Linked DNA regions of Mus musculus. The protein of the gene in region 5 binds, or shares a complex with, the protein of the main gene of each other region. Links are inferred from orthologs where the notes say so. Each region holds a gene or a part of one and is shown on either strand. Other genes may lie near its edges. The genes, in order: Pold4, Cdkn1a, Mcm7, Fen1, Pcna, Rnaseh2b and Pold3.

Region 1 (3,634 bases), on a different chromosome or scaffold from region 5:
GCACCCCTGGAAGGAAGAACCGGATGGGCTCTCCAGAGGGTGATTAGTGCTGGGTCAGTCCAAGTGCTGGTTCCCAGACTCCCACGGGCCAGCATTTTCACCCGCTGCCAGGAAGTTGGTGAGGGGGAGGTGGTAGTAGGGGTGAGTCAGTGATGACAGGAGCCCCAAAACAAAGGTCATGGGTAGAGAATTGAGAGACGCTGTTTACAGCAATTACCTCCTGAGGTCTTCTCCCAATGCCTACCATTCTCCTCCAGCTCTAAGGCATTCGTGCTCCTGCTCTCCTGTCCAGGACTAACGACTGTGTATGTCCCTCTCTCTACCGCGCAAGCCTGGGAGCTTCTGCCGCACACGGGAAGCTAGTTAGTTACACAGTAGCTGTTACTAAGAGCACTTCTGCAGCACACGGGAAGCTAGTTAGTTACACAGTAGCTGTTACTAAGAGCACTTCTGCAGCACACGGGAAGCTAGTTAGTTACACAGTAGCTGTTACTAAGAGCACTTCTGCAGCACACGGGAAGCTAGTTAGTTACACAGTAGCTGTTACTAAGAGCACTGATCACAATTTGCCTACACTTCCCACTTGCAAAAAAACTCTTTTGATATCTATTTTGAGTTAGCATGTGGGAGATGCTTAGAACTCGGCACATGGAAAGTCCAATATGAGGGTTGGGTTTATTGAAATTATTTTCTGCTCATGATACACATTCAGAAAAAAACAAAAACAAAAAAACAGAGCAGATCTGTCAGTTAAGAACTGGGGATATGAACCCATGGAGAATGGAGACTATACTTCTGGCGTCCTGCTTGGAATGGAATCTTCCTGACTAGCAAAGTGGACAGAGGCAGGCTGTGGGACTTGACAGCGGCCACAGCAACCGCATGCCTGGGCTGGGTGGACAGTGGCTCTGCCAGCAGACTGTGAGAAAGGAGCCTTCTGAGCTCATGAGTTTCTCCAGCAAGGTCTCCTGGGGCCAGTAAGAGCAGCAGGGAAGGACCTGGACTAGTCCAAACTCTCTTTGGACCTACAGATCTGATCCCACAGCGCTCTAGGGCCAACCGGCAGGAGAAAAAGGTTCTCAGGGGACTTAAAAACTGGCCATGGGGATTAGTGAGGCTGAAAAGAACATTTGCCTAGGAAGGAAAAACGGGAAGTGAGAGGCCGAGGATAACTCTCTATATGTCCCAAGGGACCCAAGTGGACCAATGAGAAACCCGAGGAGGTGGTGAAGTCTGGGGCATCTTGACAGGTTCTTGGTTCCGCCTAACCCCTCCTCACTCGAAACGCAGCAGCAGCTACCCCGCCCCCCGTCTTCTGCCGATTGCCATTGGCTAGAATTAAGGTCCCGCCCCGCAAAGGCCGTTTGCCATTTGCTTAGGTCTCTGATGTTTGCGTGCTTGTGGGGGCGGAAGACAGGCGTCATTCCCTGGAACCTAGGGACTTCCTCTCTCTGCTTGTCTGGGTCAACTTGTCTGTCCATTGCTGGCCCATCTCTCTCTGGCCCCCTCTCTCACTCTCAGCAGCTGTCTCTCACAGGCCCGCTGCCCTGCCTTTTCTTTGCCTCCTGCTCCGCCTGCCTGGGTGGCCGCCATGGGTCGGAAGCGGTTCATCACTGACTCCTATCCTGTTGTGAAGAAGAGGGAGGGGCCCCCTGGGCACAGCAAGGGAGAGCTGGCACCCGAGCTAGGTCTCTAAAATGTGGGGGTGGCAGGAAGAGTGGACATGAAGTGACCAGAAAGGACTCTGTGTGTGTGTGTGTGTGTGTGTGTGTGTGTGTGTGTGTGTGTGTGTGTTGGCTAAAAAGGGAAGCTAGCATGTCTCGCACTTCCGATGAGCTGTCTGTCTGCTGGATGGCAAAGGCAAATGGGTGGGGAGATTGCCAGGATATAGAGTCACAGCTCTAAGTCCAGGGTAGGGCAAAGGCCTGGATGTGCCTGAGGAGCCACCACATGTTATTGCAGGGGAAGACACCCAGTCCCTCAGCCAGGAGGAAACAGAGCTGGAGCTGCTGAGGCAGTTTGACCTGGCCTGGCAGTATGGGCCTTGTACAGGTGAGCACCCCATTTCCAGTCCCTCCCATCAGGCACATCTCTGAATCAGTTCTGTTATCAATGTGTCTCAAAAGTAATCCTGCCTAGCTCTTGGACACTGTCTCCTGAAACTGACTATGGAGGCTCAAGAAACTGCCGTCCATGTCCACTATCCTGGATTCTCCTGCCTATCCTGTCTTCTTTTCCTGATGGCAGGTATCACAAGGCTGCAGCGCTGGAGTCGGGCAGAGCAGATGGGCTTGAAGCCCCCCCTAGAGGTGTACCAAGTGTTGAAGGCACACCCTGAAGACCCTCACTTCCAATGCAGGTCAGGATAGGCTGGGACAGCTTTCAGGGGAACCAGGGACTTCTCCAGGAGCTGCCACCCTCTTGGTCTACGTAGGGGCTACCTTGACTTGGAGAAGTGGGAACAGACTTAGACGGTCCTTCCTGTCAAGCAAGAAGAGTCTGGCTCGAGATAGATCTCGATAATGATCCTTACCTCTATGAGCTGATGGTGGGGGACGGGTATATCTAGGGCCCATGGAGCTATCCATGAGTCCTGAGGTGTTCACCAGAGCCACAGGATTGTAGGCAGTAAGTAAGTAAGAACTAGAGACAGTCCATCAAGGAACAGAACTGATGTGGCTATGACTTCCTTCTCCCACCCTGTCTTCCACAGCCTGTGGCATCTCTACCCACTCTGAGGTACCCCCACGTTGTCCTTCTCTGGGCACCTCCTAGCCACCAAGAACTTCAGGACAGACATCATGGCCTGCTCTGCTCATTCCAACCTTGGAGAAACAGCAGGCTGACTGTGGAGGTCTTCCTGGTTCAGCTTCTTCTCCATCTAAACAGCAGGCTGCTGAAGCTCCTGGGACCTGTGAAGCTGAGCACCTCCACGCCCTAATCATGACCACCAGATGCCCACCCGCCACACCCCTGACCTACGGTGTGGCAAATCCAGCACAGGCTGGCATAAACCAGATGTCGGCAGATAACCTAAAGGGCCCACCTTGGGCATCTAGCTGAGGGCACAGATGAGTGAGTTATTGGATCAAGGAGCTCACTAATGCTTACAATAAAGTACATTAAGCCTGAGATTCTGACCTTACATCTCTTAATATGCTCTAATCTAGCCGGCAGTTCCCAAACTGTAAGTGGGCTGGAGAGCCAGCTACAGGCTTTTTTTTTTTTTTTTTTTTTTTTTTTTTCTTTACTTAGGCTGGCTACAAACTCAGAAATTTGCCTGCCTCTGCTTCCTGAATGCTGAGATTAAAGGGTCCCAATATGGGGCGGGGGACAGTGCTGTGACTGGGATGTAAAGTGATTAATTAATTAACTAATTAATTAATGGGGAAAAGGTTTCACTATGTAGTTCTGTTTGTCCTAGAACTCATTATATAGACCAGGCTGGCTTCTAACTCACAGAAATCTACTTGCCTCTGTCTCCCAAGTGCTGGGGTTAAAGGCTTGTGTTTCTATACCACAAGGCTTCCATATCTATTTTTCTAAGGCAGTCTTTTCAAAAGCTGAGTGGCCTCTGGTATTCCCTGGTAGAAACTCACTCTAAGTTTCCTTCCCTGACCAGCCAGCAGAAAAT
Region 2 (4,083 bases), on a different chromosome or scaffold from region 5:
GATTCTCAAGGTGCAGACCTCAGAGGCCTAAAGGACCTCAGATGGCCTCTGCCTACAGGTAGAGCTTGGGGCCTATTCACATCCTTTAGTACAACTCAGTCATCCTCCTGCCTCTGCCTCTAGTGTGCTGGGATTGCAGTTGTAAGCCACCAAAAGCTATCGTTAATAGATGGCAATATCACATTCTTTTACGGCAGAGCTAATCCAGGTTCAGAATGTGTGTCCAAAGGCACAGGGCTCACAAGCGGGGTTTGAATTCAGACCCTTTTGGTCTAGTATTGATCATTCTCTCGTCTTCTCACCTTGAGGGGCATGACCAGAGGACTCCATTAAAATCAGCTGGAAAAGCTTTTTTATTAAATATAGACTGAGCTCCATGTTATGGGGAGAGTCTTTAATCCCAGCACTCCACCAGAGGCACGTGATCCTTATGAGTTCCAGGCCACTGGGCCAGCCTGTCTATATAGTACTGGTAGCTGGGGCCATTTTGTAAGCTTGTCTCTCTGTCTCTGTCTCTCTTTCACACACACACAGAGACAGAGAGAGAGATCTATATAGATATAGAAATATAGATTGGCTCATTTCCCCAGACAAACTGAGCCGAAAAACAAGTTTGGTGCCCTTCCCCAGACGGTAGCTCACAGGGGCCAGAGGAAGGAAGGGAAGACACCAATGGACTCGGCTAAGGCTGGATAGTCCCCAGTTTTTCATAGCTGAAGATAAGACCAGGAACCCAAGAGGGGCACGATCTCCACCTTGTCTCTCAAGGGCCACGCCTCCCTAATAGTCCGCTAGCACACCCTGCTAAAATCACTTGTATCTGGCCATCAGGCATATTTTAATTCCCTTTAAGCCGCGGTGGGGGTGGCAGAAGCCCGTGGTGCCACCCGCGCCTAGCCGGCCTTGCAGTCCTCACTGATGCCGGTAGGGGGCGCTGTGCACTCAGGAAATGGCGCTCGGTAGGCGGCGCGTAGGCCGAGCAAGGAGTGGTGAGTCAGTTTCCTGCCCGGCGCTGCCCGCCCGCCAAAACTGCTTGGGCACCGGAGCTGCGCGTCACCCTGGGGTGGAGAGAGGAGAGGAAAGGAGGGGGACCCCGGGCCACAAAACACGTCACGATGAGCCCAGGCTTCCTAAATTCCCGCCTATGTTGGGAAACCAGACTGAGCGCGCGCGCGCGCACGCATACACACACACACACACACGCACGTACACAGACACACACACACACACACATACGCACGCACGCACACACGCACGCACGGACACTCGAGAGCAAAGAAAGTGCTCTTAGCTCTGGCCCCCTCCACCTTGATCTCCACGCCCAAAGCACGCGATGAGTCAGATCCCTGGAAAATAAAAATAGATGAGGGCGAGGACAACAAAAAACCGCCTGAGTGTCCTCTCTGAAACGCGACGTAGGGGACAGAGGAAGCTGCCAGCGCGCCCCCAAATGCCAAACCCAAGCCCAAAGTATTTCCCGCACGACCAGGGTGCAAGTGTAGCCCTTGTCCCCGGAGGTTCCGAGTGGAATGGATGTGCCCTAGTGGGCGCACTCAGCCTGGTCACCTTCCTACACTGGGTGTGGACTGGGTCGAGGGCCCCAGCCCCGGGGCGTCTGATGTACGGCACCCGTAAGCCTCACTCCGCGAGGATACCGGCCGCTCTACAGTGCGGGCTCCTCTCGCGCCCCACGGTCACTGGTCCGGGTCGTGGTGGGCGCGGTGGGTGGGACCCTTTGCGCTTCCCGGGCTGGCAGGGTGGACAGGACCCGCCCAGACTCCCTGTCCCCGAGGGCGCGCCGCCGAGCGGGGACCGGACACCGCGTCCTGGACCTCCCCGTGTCCCGGGTTCCCTGGGAACATACTGTGCCCGCCAAATAGGTCACTGTGCCGCGCGGGGGAGGGGACGGGGCAGGAACGAGGCTGTACCCGGGCAGGGAAAGGGGCTTCTGGGCTGCCACTGACCCATCCCCAGTTGTGGCGCGATTCTGGTCTCAATCCAGTGCCCGGGGTCTCCTTGTCACAATGAGTCACCTCCTCGCCTGTCCTCTAGGACGTGCCCAGGCACGATCCCGAGGGCGGAGGACACAGCTCGCGCTGACCTCAGAGCCCAGTGGGGTGGTGGCTACCGCGAAACAGGGCACTTGGTTCACAAGGACCGGGGATCCGGCGGCACCCATGGGATCGGAGAACCGCTCTGCGCTAAGCTCTAGATAGACTCGCCGAAGCTTGTCACAACCGCCACCCAGGACCCATCTCGGGGCACCGTGAGCTTCATTCTCACGCTTTGGGCGAGCCGCACCTGGAATCCCTAGAAACATTGGCAACCAGAAGCGAGCTCCCGGTAGCCGATCCCCGCCAGCCATCGCTCGGACCCGGTCTCCAAGGACTGGAAGAGTGGCTGCCATCCGTGGTCCTGGAGTTCAGACTCTGTATGCCGAGTCCGCGACATAGCCTGACCCTCGTCACACTCCAACAAACGAAGCCTTCAGCCACCACGGACGCTCAGACCCACACCCGTCATCCACCTGCCGCGGACACACCTGTGACTCTGGCGGGCACGCACAAATACACATATACACACACAGGTGATCCACTCATCACCACACACACACACACACACACACACACACACTTCTGGGGACACCCACTGGGCTCAGCGCATTGCTACGGGGAAGAACTATTGTTCCCTGCCACGAAGCTCTCACCTCTGAATGTCTGGATATCGCTGTGGATCTGCGCCTGACTCCAATTCCCCTAGACTCTGACACCGCGGCGGCTCACACCTCTCGGCTGCTGCAGTTGGCGTCGAGCTGCCTCCTTATAGCGTCGGCCCAGGCCCCGCCCCCTCAGAGGCAGGACCAACCCACTCCTTCACCGATCCCGGGGACTCGCTGGCCCGCCCTCCCCTCTGGGAATCTAAGCCCGCGCCAGACAGCTAGAACCGGCGCGCGTTAAGAGGGCGCGCCCTCCCCTCCCCCACACCTGGGCTATTCTCTTGTCACGCAGCGCACCAGCAGAGCCACATACATCTATGAACAACAGTACAGTTAGAGCTGAGTGAGTGTTTATGGGTCTGTCCCTGACCAACTGTGGGAAGGACTAACTCTTTTCCAGATCACTGATATTAGTAAATAAAATCCTGGGTTTCGGGAGGTGGGTCTGTTGGTACAGTGTTTGCCTAACTTGCTGGAAGTGAAGCCCTGGGTTGGAGCTCCAGGGCCCCATAAACTGGGCATGCGGGGTCACGTCTGTAATAACAGCGCCCAGTGGGGGGTGAGGAGGGGGAAATAGGCATTCAAGGTCGTTTTGACAGCTACCTATTCCGATGGAGACCAACTTGAAATATGTGACACTGTTTCAAATATAAATAAATTGATCATTTGAGTATGATAGCAAAAGCCTGGAATCCTATACTTGGGAGATTGAGGCACGAGGGGCGTTACAGGTTCAAGACCAGCCTGGGCTATCCATTGAGACCCTCTCAAAAACAAAACAAGCCCATAAATAATAAAAAATAGTTTAAAATCCCAAGAAGTCCCACTATGTCTGGAGATTTTTTTCCCCCTCCTCCCAGAAGCCCCTCGGACATCGGGTCCAGAACGCGATCATTTCCTCCCTGTCTCACAGACGAGGAAAGCAGTTCCACAGAAGGAAAGGATGCTGTCAACCGCCTCAGAAATCGGGGAGATTGAGTCCAGTTCTCAGACCACGGACTACCAAGAAAAACAGCCGCCAGGCTCCTTACCTCCCCTCTCCCCTCTTCAGAAGCCAGCATGTGAACATTTCTCACACCATAATACATCCTGCAAGTGAGAGCATCAAGACCTGACTGGGACCACACTAATGGCTACCTGCTGACCTCTGGCAAGCTGCCCAGAGTACTCTGCTTGCAGATTTCTTTCTCTGGGTCCAAAATGAGGGAAATGTCTAATACTCCCCCTCCCAAGATCCAGACAGTCCACTAAAATGACATTGATAAAGGACAATTCTAGAAACATCTACGGATGTTCCTGACAGACATAGCAGTAAGACATTCTCCGTTCCCACCTTCCTCCATGTCTCTAGTCAGTTTTATTTCCTT
Region 3 (4,163 bases), on a different chromosome or scaffold from region 5:
AATTGTATACGTACTGGCTGGTAGGTCTCTGCCCCACACTGATCACAAGTGTATGTGGCCACCACCATCCTGGGCTTGACTTCAGACACACGAGTGACAATGCCACGCACAGTTAACAATTTCCCCACAGAGTCAGCTCGTACTTCCCGGATCACTCGAGGCTTGCTGCTACTTGGGCCTCGGAAATACAACTCACTAAAAGAGAAACATTTGTCAGCAAGTCCCCGGAGAGCAAGTCCCCGCCCTTTCCCACAGAGATACTCACAATCTTCGCATGAGTTCAGAAGGATACTGGTTTTGGGGGTTCCGGACTGCCCCAGGGTCTCTGCTTCGCTGCTCCATCATCAGCCGGTGTTCAATGTAAACATCTAAGACATCCTTATTCACCACCTAAAAGAAAGAAAAGGCGAGAGGCAGGACAGAGAAAGAAAACAGGGCACGAGGCAGACGAGCTCAGAAACAAACCAGCCACCTACCTCCTTCTCCTTGTACTCAGGCAAAAGCTCTTGCACAACATCACCAAACAGTCTTGAGTAGCGCTTGGCATTCTCGCAAATTGAGTCGACCAACTCAGGGTCATCTTCAGCTATGTCATCCAGGTCCACATACAGTGCCACTTGTTCCCGATGAGCCAGATGAACCTGAGGTAAAGAAGAGATGCTAACACTTTAGGGTCAAGTTCACCTCACCCACAAAAGCTCTTCTAAAGTCACTATCCTACCACTGGGGAAAGAACAGAATGCAGTACATCATGGTGGTAGATGTCTATAATCCCAGCACTTAGGATTCAGAAGGCAACAGAGTGAGGAGCTCAAAGCCAACCTCAGCTATGTAGCTACACAGCGTGTTCTTGATGGTGGTCTGAGCCACACAAAGACTACCCCTAAAAACTAAGAGCTAGGAATGGATGAGGTGGCTCAGCAGGTTAGACATAGCCATCTAGCCAGATGATCTGAATTTGCTCTCTAGAACACACATGGTGGGAGAACAGACTTCCACAAATTGTCCTTTTGACCTCTACACATGCTATGGCATGCCCCTGTGAGCACAAACACATAGGAATAAACACGACTAAAACATCTAAGAAAACCCTTAAGCTAAAAACAAAACAAAAACCCAACTTTGTATAAAAACAATCAGAATCAAGTCATTCACTGATAGCCAGACTTGAGATAACCTTATACAAGTTCTTAACACGCCACGCCACTCCCCAGAACCAATCCTGAGACTTACCAACTGGGTCCCATACTTGAACTGCTTCTTTCCAAGCTCATTCTCGTAATAAAACTCTTGGAGGAACTTCTTAACTTTTTCTACAAATATAAAATAAAAACCAAGTCTTTGCAGTGAGGTGTAAAGACCACTGCTGCCAAGGACTAGAGTTCAATCCCTAGGGCCCACCCACAGGTTGGAAGAGAACAGAGTCCTGCGGGTGTCCAGCACTATGATATGCCCGTGCGATCTCACACACACAATAATGTAACAAAATAATGTAAAAATAAATAAAATAAACAATCAACTTTCCTTTTAGATTCTTTATTTCAAACTCTTAACAGAAACCTAAGAAACCCACTTTCACTTAAGACGAAACCTATGAACTAGTTAGTTAAATGAACATTGAAAACAAATCGACCAAGTTCTCCCCAAAGTAGGCAGTGTTCCTTTTCACAAGTCCGTTTTTACACAGAGAAGAATATAGGTCTTCGGGCAGCTACAAGAGTCTTACCCAACCTTCCCAAGAGAATTCCACACTCTGTCTTAATTAGGAATCTCAGTTTCTTCAATTCTCTCAGCTCGCTCCCAATCGACTTAAGGTCCTCGGCTCTCGCTCTACCAGTACAACTCTTTTTCTTAGGCTCCCGCCAGGACGTCCGCCACTAGGCCTCCTCTGCACTCATGCCCGGCTCCCGCCACTGCTTCCGCTCTTAGTAAACAAAGAAGCACATGGGCCCAGATTCCAGCCGCCTCACAGCCCAGGATTCCTCCGCCCGAGACGGGTGGCCGAGCGGGGATTGGCCAGAACGCCAAAGGGCCATTCGGGTCCACCACACTGCCACCTTTCGCCACCGGGCGCTTAGCCTCCCAATTCTAGGCACGCCCCTACCTACTGCAGCTATCTCCGAGGCCACCGCGCGGAAGGACACTGTTTACACACGACAGTCCCAAGATCGGGTAGCGCCACTTCCGCCCGCCTCTACTTCCGCTTGGAGGGCGGCCGAAAACAACCAATCGCGGCGCGTAGCGGTCTGGCAAGCCCCGCCTCTGGACTTCGGCCAGTCTCCAGTGGACGCGGGAATTCGCTAGCGCCCCGAGCAGCAGAGGCTGGCCCAGTAACCTAGTCCCTTGGGTCACGTATTGAATGCATTGAACCAAGTCACCCGGTCTCTACCGAGCGCGCCCCTCCTTTGTGGACTCCACTGGGTTCTCTCCATAACACAAACACATCACCTTTTCCAAGGAGGATTGCTTCCTCCATCCTTGACGCCCACTGCTTATTGCAGGCGCAGTTCGCCTGTCCTCGGAGTCACAGATCCCGGCTCACTCCCCCTCCCCCGCCCGACCCCAAGACTCCAGCACCCCTCAACAGGTGCAGGTAGAAGTTTCCCTCCGAGGACGCCGCCCCCAGCCCTATAGATCTTCACCTTTTTCGATCGCGTAGTCCTTAAGCGCCATCGCTGCCGGGGACGGTGTGGCAGGACTTGAAGGGCTCAAAAATCTCTCTCTGGGGAAGCAGAAAACGAACGCGCGGCGGGACGTAGCCGGCCAACCGAAATTGGCGCGAAACGTCGTCACCCATGTGACCCGTGCGGCTGAGAACCCGCCAATCAGATAGGGGGTTCCCAACTGCTGCCAGCCCCTAACTTTAACCAATCAATGGACGAGTCTAGATTGAATGACAAGGGGCTTGAGGGCGGGCCGTTGAAAGATTGCCAGATCCTGGCGGGTTGGACACCCTGTTTCCCGCGGTTCGAAATTAATGCTCGCGAGTGTGTGTGTGGGAGGAGTGTTTCTTAAAGCGCCAGCCTCCGTGCGGCCTTTTGTTCCGCGTCCACAAGGCGGGGTGGGTTCAACTTTCACCGTGTTCTCGTCTATCCTCCAGAACCGCCATGATTTCCCAGTTCTTCATTCTGTCTTCCAAGGGGGATCCGCTCATCTATAAAGACTGTATCCTTTGACCCGGGAGACGGGGTAGGGTAGCTGGGTAGAAATCGAATCCAGATCAGTCTGTGTCGCCTGTTCCTTAACTATCTTTCCACCTGGCTAGTCCGCGGGGACAGTGGTGGTCGTGATGTGGCAGAGCTCTTCTACCGGAAGCTGACGGGACTGCCTGGAGGCGAGTCCCCGGTTGTCATGGTAACTACTGTGGTTGGTGTGCAGGGCCTTAGAACTGTGGAGGTGGGTGAGTGCCTCCTCCCTGTCAAGGGCAGCTTGGTAGGAAGCTTGGGGGCGGGGGTGTGTGTGTGGGGAGGATTTGTTTATAAATGTTTTGAGTACTAACAAGAAGCCAGTTACAGAGCCATGCACCCTATTTTTTGACTATCAACAACTTTGAGAGGTAGATACTACCTTTCCACGTTAGGCGGCCAGGTCTTAGATCTGGGGCATCGCCCATCACTAGTAGACCTCAGGGTGCCATCTTGCAGGTTTCCTTACTACAATTCTGGTCTTTTCTTAATGGCCTCTGTCCTCAACTCTGCCTCAGTATCACGGTGATCGTCATTTTATTCACATCAGACACAGTGGGCTCTATTTGGTGGCCACAACCTTAGAAAACGTCTCTCCTTTCAGCCTTCTGGAGCTGCTTTCCCGGTGAGTAGAGTTGGGACAGGCACTTAAGAAGGAGGGCGTGTGAGGTTTATTCACACATAATTTGCTGTGTTTCCTTAGGCTAGCCACTCTCTTGGGTGACTACTGTGGCTCACTCAATGAGGGAACCATCTCACGCAATGTGGCGCTTGTCTACGAACTCCTGGATGAAGTGCTGGTAAAGCCCAAAAACTTTGGTCTTTTTAAGTTTATTTATTCACGTGTGTGTGTGTGTGTGTGTGTGTATTTGCCCACATCACTGCACATGTGTGGAGATCAGGTATCTTCTACTTGTTGTAGAATCTGCTAAATCCAATATAGATCCACCATAACTCAAGCACTAGGTCAATGCAGAT
Region 4 (2,762 bases), on a different chromosome or scaffold from region 5:
CCACTTTAGTGAATTTCCTTTTAACATATACATAGCTCATTCTCTGTTGTTCTCTGGGAAAACCTAAATGTATTAGTACTCAAAAACTTTCATTCTTCCCGGACACCTGAAATCTCAGTAAGAACAAGGCTTCTTTTATTTACCTACTTGTTTTATAGGTTTGTGGAGACAGGATTTGTGTAGCCCTGGCTGGATGTTATAAGATAGTTTATCTAAACTACAAGACTGTTCCAGGGGACTCCTTTATCTCACAGATGGTGGAACGTGTGAAATCCAGTCAAGCTATGCAAACTCCTAAGTACAAAAGGCTGGTGCCACCACAGCTGCTGTGGCCACCTTACATGGGCACAGCGCCACCTTGTGGTCAGTCCTAAACTAACCACTTGTTACCAGGGCAATCCCAGCCAGGCTGTAGGGGATTTTAGAGGGGGAAAGGAAACCATTATATTTATTCTACAGGAAACTAAGGCACTCAGGGTGTTTTCAAACATTCAGACACATTCTGGTCACTTTTATAATTTTATTGTTTTTTTTTTCTCTTCACATCTTTTAAAATAGAAATAGCCTATGAACAACAGTTTCTTCTCCCAAAACCTCAATTCAATTGATTGCCTCAGAAAGGCTGTCAGAACATCACTTGGAGGCACAGGTCAGTGGCACACTTAATGCCTTTGCCCTGGGGTCAATCCCCAACACTGGAGAGGGGAGAGACAAAAACAAAAAACTACAAATCAAAACTTAAACACTGCCATCTCACTCCCTGCACAACTACTGGACTCAGCAGGCAGCAAGTTCAAATTTCTGCCCACAAAAATCAGCTGGTCAGTACTAAATCTGTTGTCAGCCAGACTTCTCTCTGCTCGTCTCTTTGCAGTTCTTCCATCAGCGAATCCCAGGCTGATGGGCATCTTTCAGGGCACAGTGAAATTAGAAGGAGCAGTAGTCAGTCAGGTTCTAGTCACCTCTCCTCCACCAGCTGGCCAGCTGGGAAACTATCTCCAGCCTCGCTCCCGGCTTTATCTTCTTCTTCCTTAAGACATTGCTCGCAGTTGCACAGAACAATGACTACAGTGTCCATTAACCTGAGAAGTGGTTTGAGCCTGACATCTTTCCTGAGCTAAAAATGAGAAAAAGCAGAGCTACGGCCTTCCTGCCACAGGGTCAAGAGAGGGAAAGCTCTGAAGGGCAGCGCTGGGAAGCAATGAACTCTCCTCAAGACGAGGGACAAGAGGGATGTGCTGCAGCCGAGGGTACAAAACAGATAGACAGCCTGGGGTCAAGGACAGTGGAGGGGAAGGACAGGTTTATTTTCCCCTTCGGAACTTCCCCGCTCCCCCAGTCTTTGCTTTCTTCTTAGCAGGCCCCTTGGGTTCTGGCTCCTTGCGCTTAGCTGAGGAGAGTGAGCCTGTCACCTTGAAGAAATCATCGAGGCGTCCCTGGGTGCTGCCCTGGCGGCTCTTACTCAGCCGCTTGACCCCACTGCGAATTCGCTCTTCAGAAAACTGCTTTTCACCACACATAAATTTGACCAACTCTTCTTCATTTGGCTCGCTCCACTTCAGCTCCACAGACTCTGGGTCCAGTACTTCTGGCTCCAGGAAGAGCTGCTGGGCTTCCTTGTGGAGCCAGTTCTCTGGAACGGGGTACTTGCTGGGGTCCAGCCGCCTCACGATCTCCTCGATGCTCTTATGTTTCTGGATGAGATCCACAGCCCGCTTGGGCCCAATGCCACGGATGCTCTCGCAGTAGTCGCTACCCAGCAGGATGCACAGATCCACAAACTGCTCCTGGTTCAGACCCAGCTCCTGCAGGACGCGGCTCAGATGGAACTCTTGGATGGGCAGCTTCTTGGCCTCACTGGCAGTTAAGTGTCGCATTAGCACGGGGCTGCCAAAAGTGAGGCAGTCCATGTCCTCCGTGGCCGCAGCATAGACTTTGCCAGCCTTTGCCAGGGCAGCACAGCTGGCCTCTGCCTCGCTGGGTGCATCAAGGTAAGGGATGCCCATGAGGCTCAGCAGGTGTTTGCACTCATCATTGTGTTGCTTGGTGACCTTCACGAGCCTCTTGGTGAACTTCTCCACCTCCTCCTCCATCCCAGCCTCCTGAGCCTGCTGCAGTTGCTTCTCAGCCTCGGCGCGCCTCTCACTGCGCTTGGCCAGCTCGCCTGACTTCAGCTGTGGTGGTTTGCCATCAAAGACGTACACAGGCTTGATGCCATTCTCCATCATGCGGATGGTACGGTAGAACATGCCCATCAGGTGGCTGGTGGTCTCACCCTCCTCGTTCTGCAGCACATCCCCACCCTGACGAACAGCAATCAGGAACTGGTAGATGCTCATGGAGGCATCGATGGCCACTTTGCGACCAAAGTAGCTCTTGATGTCATTCTCACGGATGGCACTGGGGGCCACATCAGCAATTAGTTTGGCAAGGCCGTGAATTCCCATGGTAGCACAGGAGCAATGGCTAAAACAAAGAAAGAAGAGTAAGAGGAGGAACTTGGAGGATACAAAAGGAACAAAAGTTTTAAGTGGCAACATTCACCAGTCTCATGGTTCATCAAACTTAACATGAGACACAGCAGGACTCCAAGCCAGCAGAGCAGAAGAGGCAAAGGTGAACAAGATCCACCATTCTCAAGCAGGCCTCCTGACAATCAGAAGCTGTTCTGGGCGCTTCAAGGAATGAGATCTGGGATGTTCTTTTGTTTTTGTTTTTTTTTTTGGTTTTCCGAGACAGGGTTTCTTTGTGTAGCCCTGGCT
Region 5 (4,120 bases):
AATAATTCAGCAGATTAAGGTTAAGAACTAGTTCTTGGGTTGTGTGTTTATCTATGTTCGAATTCTTACACTTTCATTTACTTTAAATTCATGCAGAGGCCAAGTAACACCTTATATTTACCTTAAATACTTGCAGTAAGCACTCTGAATTTCACTATACTAAACCCTAAAAATCCTATTTAGTTCAGACTTCTGTGTGTAATTCTGATGCTCAGGCTAGCTAGCAAAACTTAAAAAAGAAAAAAAAAAGTGTAGCCATGAAATATACATTGGATTCCTGAGAAAAAGCCTCGATTCAGGGATACTTAGAAATTAAAGAGGCCTAGTATGTTCTACTTGAATGAGGAGGACTCGGAGAACATCTTCCTTTGCCTTCCCAATTTCTTCCTCATTCTTTTTGAGCTAGATTTTCTGCCAGGTTGACTTTAAGCTGAGAATCTTCCTGCTGTAGCTTTGAGTACTACAGTTGTGGGTTTGAGACATCATGCCCAGCTTTCTCTATGGATGTAACTGTCAAGAGCATTTAATACAACTCTTTCCACATTTTGTGAAGTCTTTCTTATTTCCCTTGGGACTGCAAATACTCTTGAACCTGCAACACATAAAGCTACATACACCCCCAACCATTTTCTTTTGCTCACTTGCCAACCCTCACTTATTTGCCAAGAGTATTTCCAGGAAGCAAAAGGCTGTACACTTAGCTTTCCAAATGCTACCTGTAAAAGCTTATGGAGTCGTCTCTGAGCTCTAAGATAGCTTGGTCTACTCAAGACTCCATCTCAAAATGAATGAATAAATAAAAACAAAAGCCGAGGCTCCATCCCTGCTTCAGACACCTAACTGGACGCCCCCTTACTACTCACCGCCTCCTCTTCTTTATCCACATTACTTGTTTGTGACAACTTAATGTTCCCATTGCCAAGCTCTCCACTTGCAGAAAACTTCACCCCATTCTTTGCACAGGATATCACAACAGCATCTCCAATGTGGCTAAGGTCTCGGCATATACGTGCAAATTCACCCGACGGCATCTTTATTACACAGCTGTACTCCTGTTCCTGTAAACCCACAAGTTAAAGGTCAGTCTAGAAAAGGGGGAAGGCTCAGCTTCATGTTCTCAAGATTTAGCATCTTAACCAGAACTCAGAATGCAAGACTTCTGGTTTCTTTAAAACTCAATCAACTTTAGACTGCTGTGGTTTAGTGAAATGGCAGTGTGCCATTCATCCCCAATACCACCACTCCACTCAGAACACGCATCAGCTGGTATCACAGCAGGGTAACACACAATCAGAAACAAGGTAACTCACTGGGATTCCAAGTTGCTCCACATCTAAGTCCATTAACTTCATTTCATAGTCTGAAACTTTCTCTTGATCTACCAAAAGAAGGAAAATGTTACCAAAGCACACCACACGGTCCTATCTATGATGGAAATTTTACAATATTGTTAATATTTTTTTTTGGTTTTGAGAAACAGAAACAACACGTAACTACCGAGTTTTAAAGGTGTTTAACTTACTTGGTGCTTCGAATACTAGTGCTAAGGTGTCTGCATTATCTTCAGCCCTTAATGTAATGATGTCTTCATTACCAGCACATTTTAGAATTTTGGACATGCTAGGGGGGAAAAAAAAAAAGACAGGCTTTATCAACATGTAATCCACATCTATATTTTAAAAAGCAATTACAAGTTGTACCATTTCACACTCACGGTTGGAGAACTGTTAAAGGGGCTAAGGGTACCCCAAACTCTCTCAGGGGTGAAGCAAATTACCGGGTATATGTGATTCTTAAAACCGACTTAGTAAAATGCACTAAAAGCCAACATTCGAGAAAGCATCTTTTTGAGCGGGGTGTCCTTGGTTTCTAGTGTACTGGAGAATGTGCCCCATCACGTCTGGCCTTTTCGTAAATCTTTCAAAATGTATACAAGTGGCACTAATCCATGTATCTGTACTAAAATAAGTCACACACTGTCCTTGAACACGTATACAGGAGGCACTAACCTAGGTAGCTGTAGCAAAGTTAAAAGCTAAAACTGACAGATTTCCCCTCAAATCCATGATGCGCAGTGAGACTCTGGAAGTCAAGAAAAGGTCTATTGTCACTCTAAGTCGACATTACATTTGCACTAAGACTCGTTTATTAGGCGCTAAGACCAGCCACTCAAAGCTGCAGGCATTTAATGAGCACAGCTCCGGAGCACTCATTTTCCCGCGGACTCCCGCTTTGTGGCTTTGGCGCGGAAACAGAGTGGGCGCCACTGCCAGCGCGGGCTTTTCGGAACCGCGCGCTTTGGTGAGGGCTGCCCCCGACACCATAGACCAATCAGAAAGCGCGGATGGCCAAGCCAGCCAATGAGCGTGCAGAGTCACAGCCCCGCCAAGAGCGGAAGCGGGAAGAGTGGGGCCCCGCTCCCGCCACCCGCTCACCTGGTGAGGTTCACGCCCATGGCTAGGTTGCGGTCGCAGCGGTATGTGTCGAAGCCTTCGGAGCGCAGAGTAAGCTGTACCAAGGAGACGTGAGACGAGTCCATGCTCTGCAGGTTCACGCCGCCCGAGCTGACGTCCCAGCAGGCCTCATTGATGAGGTCTTTGAGAGCCTCCAGCACCTTCTTCAGGATGGAGCCCTGGATCAGGCGTGCCTCAAACATGGTGGCGGAGTTGTGGCGACTAGATGAGAGCTACTCTAAGAGGAACGAGGTCTGGCTGCCAAGGTCCCCCGATTCACGATGCAGAAGCGGCAGCGAAGGCCTACAGCGACAACTACCAACCCTCTGCGCCCGCAACCGTCTAATGCCGCGGCTTCCTAGGCGCGCGCCTTTTCCCTGCGCGAGGTCATGACGCCACAGCGCTGATCCACCCACCTCTCCTCAAGGACCAATCGTACCCGTGGTTTGAGCAAGGCCCGCCCCACCGCGTATGCAAAGGCGGGGCTGCGGGGTAGGAGCCTGGGAGGCGAGGGGCATCACGGGGTTCGCGTAGGCTGTCGTCACCGCCCAAGTTTGTGGGAGTTTAGGCTGCAGTTTCCATCCTTAGGAAGTTTCCGCGCCACGGAAGTGGAAGTCACAGGCAAATCGAGCTGTGCGCGGCGGCCTGCCTTGAAGCTGGAGAGTATTTTAAACACTACGGAGCGTTTTCCCTAACGTAAGAAATACGCTGCAAAATATCGAGTAATAAAGAGGCCACCATATTTTAACACCCCTACCCCCCCCCCCATTTCATATCACTTTTCTGTGTGCGTCGCTCTGAACTTTTCTCTCTAAAGACTAAAAAAATACCTCTTAACGTGAACGCTTCTCCAAAGAAGATACCAAGTCCATATGTATCACGTAATTATTTTCCTTTTATGTCTGGTTCTCTACATTTTTCTAAAGGTAGATATTACTAGTATTTTCATCTTAATTTTAGGCTGAAGATGAACCCGAGCCTGAGCCCCATCCTGAAAATGTTAGCTGTTGCAGGTGGAGCGTCTTTCATATGTCCCTGGGCTGCAGCATTTTGTTCTACTAAAGTTTTTTTGTTTTTTTGTTTTTCCTATTGATTATGAGGATGGGGAAGAACTGACTGCAGGTAGATTAACATCATTTACAAAAGGATATAGAGTTTTTCAATTTCTCATGTTTTTTTCTTTTGGTTTTGGTGGTAGGTAAAATATATTTGATAATGAAAGTGTAATACTTTAATGTGAAACTTGATAGTTTCCATTTGGAATGCCTCTTCTAACTGTATAGAAGTTGGTTGAGTTGTGAAGAAAGCTTTTGGTGTGTGATGTTTTATTTATGTGTGTAAGGGTTTTTTGTTTGTTTGCTTTTCACTAATAAGGTATATACAATTTCAGAAAGTTAAAAGGACCGTTTTAGCTGGTGAGAGTGATTAGTGATTATAATTCCAGCACATGGGAAGGCTGAGGTCGGAGGGCCTAGATTTAAACTCACCTTGGACTATCTACCAAGACTGACCAAAGGGGAAAAAGTTTACATAGGAGCATATTAATTCCATTTCATGTTCATTTATTCTTTCCTTATTCACTGCATTTCCCTTTAGTTTGTCTTGTTTGATTTTTCTTTTCCTGGCTTGGGGATTTAGCCAGAAAACTGTATAACTTATTGAGCTAT
Region 6 (3,429 bases), on a different chromosome or scaffold from region 5:
GGGATATAAAAAGCTGCAGCAATATTAGAAAGTAAGACCTAGTACTATGTGTAGAAAGAATAAACACAATCCAATCCGGCTTAATCTAGGAATGCAAGGAGACTTTAACCTTTTCAACCCTTATAACTGATATCGAGATATTTCTGCTAAAATCTCAGAGCAGAGCCCTGCTCTTCTGGCTCTTACAACCTTTCTGCCCCCTCTTCCTCATGACCCCTGAGTCTTAAGTGCAGGAGTTGTACAGGAAAATGTCATTCAATAATTAAATATCCAAATACTTAAAAATTATACTGTTATTTTAAAAAGCATTCGTGTATTTATTTTTGGCAGTACTGGGGACTGCATCTAGGACTGCAAGCGTAAAAGGCAAGCACCCCACACCACTCCCCACCTGAGCCTCACGCAGCCCAGGCCTTCACAAGCTGGTCTGTGAACACCCTGGAGAAATGCTGGGGAAATGCTCACAAAACGAAAGTCTCCAAAAAGCAACAAAACTATGATTAAAGCTCTTGAAAATGTTTTTATTCTAAGAAAATTACCTGGTTGTACCTGCATAATGGAAAGGGGCAAGATTGCAATTTTGTTTTATTGATTTTTATTTTTACAAAGAACATGAATTCATACGAAGATATGGCTAATTATAAAATTTACCAAAATGTGTGGTTTTGTTGTCCAGCTCATTTCAGCTGAAGCCATGCAGGACAGAGCAGGGAACACCTGGGCAATGCTCACACCTCCCTGGGGAAGCTGTGACTCGGTGACCCATGCACTTGATGGCTTTTCATTATGGCAAAGGTCCCAAAGTCCCCGGACAGCAGTTCACACAATCACTTTCCCACAATGGTTGTGTTTGTCAGACACAAAGTCACAGCGCAGCAAGTGTCTGCAGGATGCGAAAGTACCTTGATTCTCAGCGTAGTGACTTAGGGTCTGGGAGGTCGGGGCAGCGGCAAGAAGAGACAAGACAGAATAGGCAAGAGGCAAGTTTCTGTTTCTGCTTCACTGGATTTTATTTTCGATGCTTCAAATCTTTCCAGTTTTTTTATTTTTTGCACCAAAAAAGGCATCGATACTTTTCATTCCACTTTTGTCAACTTTAGCCAAAGCCTTCTGAGCTGCAGTCATTTTGCTATTTTTCTGTTAATAAAAATAAAGAGAGACTTACAATATTTGTAAACTATCGTACATGCAAATCACACAAGCCTGAATCTTGGTTCAATGAGCACGTGAGTGGCAGAGCTCAAACAACCCTGCTGCCCACTCAGGATCCAGATGTGATAGTGGGGTGCAGAGGAAAGCATACCCAACTCCGAGGAGCTGCATGCTCCAAGGATGGTTCCCTCTGGGAATCATTTTGAGGGTGCATTAAATGCAACAACCATACAGACACGGCAGCAATGGTGGCATCCCACCTGTGTCAGCCATCCAGTGATGAACAGACACGGCAGCAATGGTGGCATACCACCTGTGTCAGCCATCCAGTGATGAACAGACACGGCAGCAATGGTGGCATCCCACCTGTGTCAGCCATCCAGTGATGAACAGACACGGCAGCAATGGCGGCATCCCACCTGTGTCAGTCATCCAGTGATGAACAGACACGGCAGCAATGGTGGCATCCCACCTGTGTCAGCCATCCAATGATGAATAATTCACAATGACTTTGTGAATCAGTCTGTGAATTCACAGAATGCTGGGAGAAAGAGCTATTTAGGCAAAACTTACATTGGAATTTCTTCTGTTATCAAAGCCCAAGGAATAAAATTGAACAAAACAAAGCAAACAAAACAACACAACAACAACAAAAATGATATAAGGATTATGCATTGATAAAATCTAAATGGGAGTTAATGTTTCTTGGGATGGGCAAGCATGAAGAAAAAATGGGGAAACTGTACAGAAATGTAAACTATATATCTAAACTTAGGAAAAAAAATAATTACAACTGTTAAAAAAAAAAAAACAAGCAAAATGGCTAAAAATATGCTGGAAATTTTCTTGTACCCTGAATGTGTCATGAAAAGAGTTACTAGCCTTTATCTGGAATACATTCTCACAAACAGAAAAGCATTGCTTTCACAACACAGAGACAAGCAAGGGTCCCAACTGACAGTTTGTACAAATGCAAAGAGACAATGGGCAACCTGGAAAAACAGACCTTTCTAGTTAAGGGAATGTCTCACCTGACAAACAAAAATTTCAAAAATAAAAGTAGCACTCAGGGCAGGCACGGATGCAGGAAGGACACTCGCTGGCAGCATCTGGGAGTTAGTTTCCTTGCCTTTCTGGAAAGTATTTTAGCTGTCTATTTCAATTGCCTGAAACTCTGAACTCTGAGTCTTTTTCACCGTGGGTAATAAAGTGGTCAGAGCAGATAAACAAACCTTGGTCACTAACCGGAATGTCCAAATACAGGAAGTGATAAAATTACATGACTGTGTGCCATGTCCCACCCCCATGTAGTGAGGGAGGGTTAGTGGTACACACTTATGTAATGCTAAATGAAAGGGCAGAGCCAAGACCTAGGTTATAAATGCATCACGTGACTCAGGATACGTGTAACAAAACCCAGCAAGAAAAGTTACTCAGCAGACACTGCAGGAGAACGCTGAATGGCGGGACTGGGAAGTTTTTTATTTACTCTAATTTCTGAGAATCTTCTTGGCAGGAGTATTGAAAAAAAATTGAAGTTGCTTCCCTCTCATCCACTGTTCTATGGACACAGGGTAAGATTCAGGCCCAGTCTGTCTGACAGGGCTTTCTTAGATTGGCACAATCTAACATGTTCACTATTGTGAACTATTCTCAATGAATTATGCTGCTAGAAATGCAAGTTGATCACTTTTCCTGGTCAGACGTGTAAGTGCAGTCAACAGTGCAGCCATCCTTGGGGACACACTGCCACTGGAGTTGCCAGCATGCCACCACACCTGGACACACATACCTTGCCGGTCTTCAAGTCTTTAGTGTTAAACTTAGTGTAATCTTCTTTGGCTTCTACAGGCTCATCTGATAACTTTAGTTTCTGCAATGTTAGAGCATTGAAGCGTATCAGACCCCATTCTCTCACCATCCTTTCAAACAAACATATCCCTGGGACCCATACTTTACAAACTCCTTTACAGTTGACAAGCACTTCAAGAACTAAGCCACATGTCTCTTCCAAGATGCAGCCTTGGTGATGACTGGCCACACTTGAGTAGGTACGCGACATGGCTCCAGCAGCTCTTCAATGATATAAACCCACTTTGTATGTATCAGGCACGGTGGGCTTCTAAGCAGTTACAGACTAGGTGGGTACAGTTGAGGGGGCTAAATAAAAGGCACAGAAGTTGGAGACAAAAGGCCCTGTTGGGGCTCTGTGCCAAGCGTAACCCATTCTCTCCAGCCCTGGCCTGCTCTGATGGCCACTACTGAACATGGGCAGCA
Region 7 (3,500 bases), on a different chromosome or scaffold from region 5:
ATCCTGGGACTGATGGCAATGAAACAGAGGTGTCTTCAGACAGGCTCAAGGAAAGTGAGGACGGAGAAGACCTGCACAGGAAGCCGGTGTGCAAGAACTATGAACGAGCCCTGGATTCAGTCCAAGGCAACAGAGCTTCTGGTGCTTAAGGCCTGGGAAGAGCTCAGTAATACCTGTTCCCCACCGCGAGGGAAACAATGGAAGTCAACAAAAGAGCACCAGCGCTGAGACTGGGACTGAGACTGCGTTGTGGTTGAGATGAAAAAAGCAACAGTACCCTGAGCTGGCGGGCATGCAGAGGGGCAAGAACAGAAAAGAATGCAGGAGCCTAAACACCTGTCTGTACCAGCAGCTAAGCCTCGGCCTTACAACAGGCCACTCCAAGTGACCTATCAAAACGAGTACTCAGGTTACAAATCACCTAATTTTTTTCCCTCCTTTTTTATTTAACATTGGAATCTGACTTGAAATTTGAAGATGAAAATTAAGTACCAGTGTCTACAATACGTATTCAAAAGGAAAAAGAGGTTCAAGGAAAAGCCATTCCCTAATGTCTCATTTCCTAGGTAACTAAGAGTGACAGTCTCCTCATCACAGACAAGATATTACATAACCTTTCTTGTCAGATTTAGTTTAAAATTTCAGAACACTCACTCTCTTTAAGAGGTACTTTAAAACTTCCATACCATTCACTCTTCCTTCTTCCTCCTGTTATTTCTAATAATGTTTCTATCTCATGAACATGAAGTCTTGTTACAAGAGAACTTACAGAATGTCCGTTCTGTATAAGACTGCCAGACACCAAGTAGGTAACATGCAGCTGAGCTCCCGAATTTTCTTTCCGTTTCCTTTCAACATATTCATAGAGCATCCTGTGCCAAACAAGACAGAAGTGACTCATTAGCATGCAGCTTCCTCATCGACTCCGGATTCATGACTTGGAAGTCATATATATGAAATCTGACAGTTTCTTCAACAGCACAATTTTTTACTTACTGAACAGATTTTTGAAAAAACAATGAAAAAACTTTAGATGGAGCATGGGACTGGAACCAACTTATCTGAGTTGGCTAAGACACCCAGGAAGTAACTGAGGTAAATCTAGAAATATGCCAAGAGGGACAGAACCCATAGTCAAACAGTGGCAATGGCCAAACTGCAGATACAAAAGTGAGTCAATTATCGAGCTATGGCATCCAGAATAAACTTTTCTTGGTTTCCTATCTTCAGGCATAAAGCACAAGTGGCATTACTACATGAATAACTCTTATAACCCGAAGTCATACACTGTCTGCAAGCCTCTATTCTCAAATATCAATAGTCTATATGTGCTTTCCTAGAGATGGAAAGGATTTGGGGTTTTTAGTAATTCTATGAGATCATTATGTTAAATACTTCAAGTCATCATATACATCATGACAAATATATATTCACCTGTTACTACTGAATTACATACAGTCAGATGTTTCATGATGTAGAATATAGCAGATGCTTACACCAGCCAACATCTAAAATGTTCATTAACCACACACTAAATGCAGAAGTGTTGCTTGCAGTAAAGTCTTTATTCACTTTTATCCCAACCACCCAAAATACCAGAAGTTGATGCCCCTCAATGGAGTTTAACAATAAAAAGATGCACATCATCTGTCTTTATTTCAAGAAATATTTAGCAAGCTTCTACAACATATCACACTTCAGTTGAGAACAGCCAGAAACTCAGAAATTCTGATAGCTAGGTATGGTGGTACAGGCCTTTAATTATCCTAGAGGAAGAGGCAGGTGGATTTCTGTGAGTTCAAGTCCAGCCTGGTCTACACAGTAAGTACCAGGCTTACTCCAGTAAGCCTAAGAAACCCTGTCTTCTCCAGACGCCCTCCCTCGCTTACCTTCCACGATACCCAGCCGAGTCCCCTGCTACACCTGCTCCATTTTTCCTGCAGTTTCTGTGCTTTCCTCTCCTTAGCCATCTTACCCTATTTTAGTATGACCAGTCACCCCAGTTTGCCTGACTCAGATAGGTTTCCTGGGAAATGGGATATGGTTGGTCACCCCGTGGTATCCTCCATTGTCTATTTTATTCAACTCCATGGCTTCGGTTTTTTTTCCCTGATGACATCATCATTTGTTCAAACCACCTTAGCCAGAAATCCAGGAGTCATTACCTTTCTCCTTATGCAATGAGTTGCCAAGTCTCATCAGTCCTCCCTCCCAACTAACTCTTGACTGGACTCTATGCTCTCCAACACGCTATACTAGACTATTTCAAGTCCAAGGGTCACCTGTATTCTCTTTTCACCATCATTATCTGTGAGGCTGTCATAGTGAAGTTTTAAAATGCAAGTCAGTAAAAAAAAAAAAAAAAAAAAAAAGTCAATAGATTAAAAAAACGAATCAAAACGTTCCTGAGTGCCCACTTGTGTTCTAAGCAGTAAACAAAGGAGTCACGGCTCCTACCCATCTGGACCAGCCATTTCTTTCCTAGAGCGTAAGCTTAAAATTGGTAGGAACTTGAATCACAGCCATCTGTCTGCCTCCCTTTAATCCTAGGGAGGGAGTCTGAGGCCAGCCTGGCTTACATAGGGAATTCCAGGCCAGGCAGGGCTATATAGGTTCCATCCATCTAATTCCTCCTACTCCAAGTCTCTCTGACACGGCTAGCCAAGCAGAGCACCTCTGCCTCCCGAGTGTTAACAGCTTACGCCCTATCATGCATTCTGACATCTACTACACCACACTCTATCACAGGTTTTTAAGGCTGCCTTTCCATACACCACCAGTTACGTAAGTACAAAGCGTGCACTATTTGTCAGTTTTACGGATTCTTCCGCCTTGCTCTCTCACATCTTCCCCACTTCAGAGACCACGTTAGAAGGGCAGATGAGGGGGTGGACTCTTGACTGTTGATGCTAATTAGGACCTGCTAATAGAAAACCAAAAAGGCAAATACCATGTCTACCATGCTCTCAAGCGTGTCAGCCAACTAGTCTTTTCTCCACAGCTCTTGACCTTGCCTGGGTCAGTCAGCAAACCACTGTCTTCTGCACAGGTTTCCCCAAATAAACCCCAGCTGTTCCCATATTAGTTTCTCTTCTCACTTGTTTTTGTTTTGTTTTCTTTTTAATCTATTTCCCTTCTTACTGAGAAGTTTACAACAAACTTTTTTAAAAAGGAATTTATACCTACTTTAACACGTTTCTTATTTAGTAAAGGCAAGTACTCCATTTCTGACAATAATATATGTGAAATATTCTTTAAAATGAGTGAAAAGCCTTGACATGCTGCAGAATGTTTCCTATGCACATGATGACTTACAACCTCCCCGAGACCCTTAACTTTCCTCTCCTTTAGCTCCCCTGGAACCAAACCAATTTTAGTCCTCCATAATATTTTTCCAATCTGAAGATGTCATGTTTAAGTCAATGAGGAAGGATCTTGTCTGTTAAATAATACTTTAAAAAAAGAACTAAAAACAAGAATTTGTTTTGTTTTCTCAAGAA

Evidence for each region.
Region 1: the proteins of Pcna (region 5) and Pold4 are in contact, whole or in part, in a crystal structure (PDB 6HVO), measured with the Homo sapiens proteins. The link is inferred for Mus musculus from reciprocal best matches to the Homo sapiens genes PCNA and POLD4. Residues at the interface, in NP_002583.1 of Homo sapiens: Met40, Ser43, His44, Val45, Ser46, Leu47, Val123, Glu124, Gln125, Leu126, Gly127, Ile128, Pro129, Gln131, Tyr133, Asp232, Val233, Pro234, Tyr250, Leu251, Ala252, Pro253, Lys254, Ile255; in NP_066996.3 of Homo sapiens: Lys4, Arg5, Leu6, Ile7, Thr8, Ser10, Tyr11, Pro12, Val13, Val14, Lys15.
Region 2: the proteins of Pcna (region 5) and Cdkn1a are in contact, whole or in part, in a crystal structure (PDB 1AXC), measured with the Homo sapiens proteins. The link is inferred for Mus musculus from reciprocal best matches to the Homo sapiens genes PCNA and CDKN1A. Residues at the interface, in NP_002583.1 of Homo sapiens: Cys27, Asp29, Met40, Ser43, His44, Val45, Ser46, Leu47, Ala67, Met68, Gly69, Ala96, Asp97, Leu118, Met119, Asp120, Leu121, Asp122, Val123, Glu124, Gln125, Leu126, Gly127, Ile128, Pro129, Gln131, Tyr133, Ala208, Asp232, Val233; in NP_000380.1 of Homo sapiens: Arg143, Gln144, Thr145, Ser146, Met147, Thr148, Phe150, Tyr151, His152, Ser153, Lys154, Arg155, Arg156, Leu157, Ile158, Phe159, Ser160.
Region 3: Pcna (region 5) and Mcm7 share a complex: the UniProt entries of both Homo sapiens proteins name them as parts of the replisome complex. The link is inferred for Mus musculus from reciprocal best matches to the Homo sapiens genes PCNA and MCM7.
Region 4: the proteins of Pcna (region 5) and Fen1 are in contact, whole or in part, in a crystal structure (PDB 1UL1), measured with the Homo sapiens proteins. The link is inferred for Mus musculus from reciprocal best matches to the Homo sapiens genes PCNA and FEN1. Residues at the interface, in NP_002583.1 of Homo sapiens: Cys27, Asp29, Met40, His44, Val45, Ser46, Leu47, Ala67, Met68, Gly69, Asn95, Ala96, Asp97, Leu118, Met119, Asp120, Leu121, Asp122, Val123, Glu124, Gln125, Leu126, Gly127, Ile128, Pro129, Glu130, Gln131, Glu132, Glu201, Pro202; in NP_004102.1 of Homo sapiens: Arg19, Phe27, Gly28, Arg29, Lys30, Lys80, Val167, Lys168, Ala169, Gly170, Pro188, His208, Ser210, Arg211, Leu296, Lys297, Trp298, Ser299, Glu300, Arg332, Ser335, Thr336, Gln337, Gly338, Arg339, Leu340, Asp341, Phe343, Phe344, Lys345.
Region 6: the proteins of Pcna (region 5) and Rnaseh2b are in contact, whole or in part, in a crystal structure (PDB 3P87), measured with the Homo sapiens proteins. The link is inferred for Mus musculus from reciprocal best matches to the Homo sapiens genes PCNA and RNASEH2B. Residues at the interface, in NP_002583.1 of Homo sapiens: Met40, His44, Val45, Ser46, Leu47, Glu124, Leu126, Gly127, Ile128, Pro129, Phe207, Ala208, Asp232, Val233, Pro234, Tyr250, Leu251, Ala252, Pro253, Lys254, Ile255, Glu256; in NP_078846.2 of Homo sapiens: Asp290, Ser292, Gly293, Met294, Lys295, Ser296, Ile297, Asp298, Phe300, Phe301.
Region 7: the proteins of Pcna (region 5) and Pold3 are in contact, whole or in part, in a crystal structure (PDB 1U76), measured with the Homo sapiens proteins. The link is inferred for Mus musculus from reciprocal best matches to the Homo sapiens genes PCNA and POLD3. Residues at the interface, in NP_002583.1 of Homo sapiens: Met40, His44, Val45, Ser46, Leu47, Glu124, Gln125, Leu126, Gly127, Ile128, Pro129, Thr206, Ala208, Asp232, Val233, Pro234, Tyr250, Ala252, Pro253, Lys254, Ile255, Glu256, Asp257; in NP_006582.1 of Homo sapiens: Ala453, Asn454, Arg455, Gln456, Val457, Ser458, Ile459, Thr460, Phe462, Phe463, Gln464, Arg465.

Annotation. Positions count from the first base shown.
Region 1 is NC_000085.6:4,230,501-4,234,134, forward strand, and holds Pold4 (DNA polymerase delta subunit 4), read left to right. Parts: upstream 1-1,392; 5' UTR 1,393-1,591; coding exon 1,592-1,688; intron 1,689-1,914; exon of another isoform or gene 1,915-1,962; coding exon 1,963-2,052; intron 2,053-2,247; coding exon 2,248-2,359; intron 2,360-2,713; coding exon 2,714-2,738; 3' UTR 2,739-3,134; downstream 3,135-3,634. UniProt on the Homo sapiens protein: As a component of the tetrameric DNA polymerase delta complex (Pol-delta4), plays a role in high fidelity genome replication and repair.
Region 2 is NC_000083.6:29,092,486-29,096,568, reverse strand, and holds the start of Cdkn1a (cyclin-dependent kinase inhibitor 1), read right to left. Parts: upstream 2,801-4,083; 5' UTR 2,708-2,800; intron 1-2,707. UniProt on the Homo sapiens protein: Plays an important role in controlling cell cycle progression and DNA damage-induced G2 arrest. Involved in p53/TP53 mediated inhibition of cellular proliferation in response to DNA damage.
Region 3 is NC_000071.6:138,169,084-138,173,246, forward strand, and holds the start of Mcm7 (DNA replication licensing factor MCM7), read right to left. Parts: upstream 2,801-4,163; 5' UTR 2,674-2,800; coding exon 2,643-2,673; intron 2,184-2,642; exon of another isoform or gene 1,727-2,183; intron 1,314-1,726; coding exon 1,234-1,313; intron 642-1,233; coding exon 477-641; intron 391-476; coding exon 266-390; intron 196-265; coding exon 15-195; intron 1-14. Other genes in the region: Ap4m1 (AP-4 complex subunit mu-1), read left to right, coding at 3,108-3,165, 3,266-3,396, 3,704-3,810, 3,889-3,985. UniProt on the Homo sapiens protein: Acts as a component of the MCM2-7 complex (MCM complex) which is the replicative helicase essential for 'once per cell cycle' DNA replication initiation and elongation in eukaryotic cells.
Region 4 is NC_000085.6:10,198,632-10,201,393, forward strand, and holds the end of Fen1 (flap endonuclease 1), read right to left. Parts: intron 2,467-2,762; 5' UTR 2,448-2,466; coding exon 1,305-2,447; 3' UTR 501-1,304; downstream 1-500. UniProt on the Homo sapiens protein: Structure-specific nuclease with 5'-flap endonuclease and 5'-3' exonuclease activities involved in DNA replication and repair.
Region 5 is NC_000068.7:132,250,381-132,254,500, forward strand, and holds the start of Pcna (proliferating cell nuclear antigen), read right to left. Parts: upstream 2,801-4,120; 5' UTR 2,657-2,800; coding exon 2,436-2,656; intron 1,621-2,435; coding exon 1,523-1,620; intron 1,379-1,522; coding exon 1,311-1,378; intron 1,059-1,310; coding exon 864-1,058; intron 1-863. UniProt on the Homo sapiens protein: Auxiliary protein of DNA polymerase delta and epsilon, is involved in the control of eukaryotic DNA replication by increasing the polymerase's processibility during elongation of the leading strand.
Region 6 is NC_000080.6:62,370,068-62,373,496, reverse strand, and holds the end of Rnaseh2b (ribonuclease H2 subunit B), read right to left. Parts: intron 3,026-3,429; coding exon 2,945-3,025; intron 1,138-2,944; coding exon 1,024-1,137; 3' UTR 501-1,023; downstream 1-500. UniProt on the Homo sapiens protein: Non catalytic subunit of RNase H2, an endonuclease that specifically degrades the RNA of RNA:DNA hybrids. Participates in DNA replication, possibly by mediating the removal of lagging-strand Okazaki fragment RNA primers during DNA replication.
Region 7 is NC_000073.6:100,111,501-100,115,000, forward strand, and holds part of Pold3 (DNA polymerase delta subunit 3), read right to left. Parts: intron 873-3,500; coding exon 770-872; intron 1-769. UniProt on the Homo sapiens protein: Accessory component of both the DNA polymerase delta complex and the DNA polymerase zeta complex.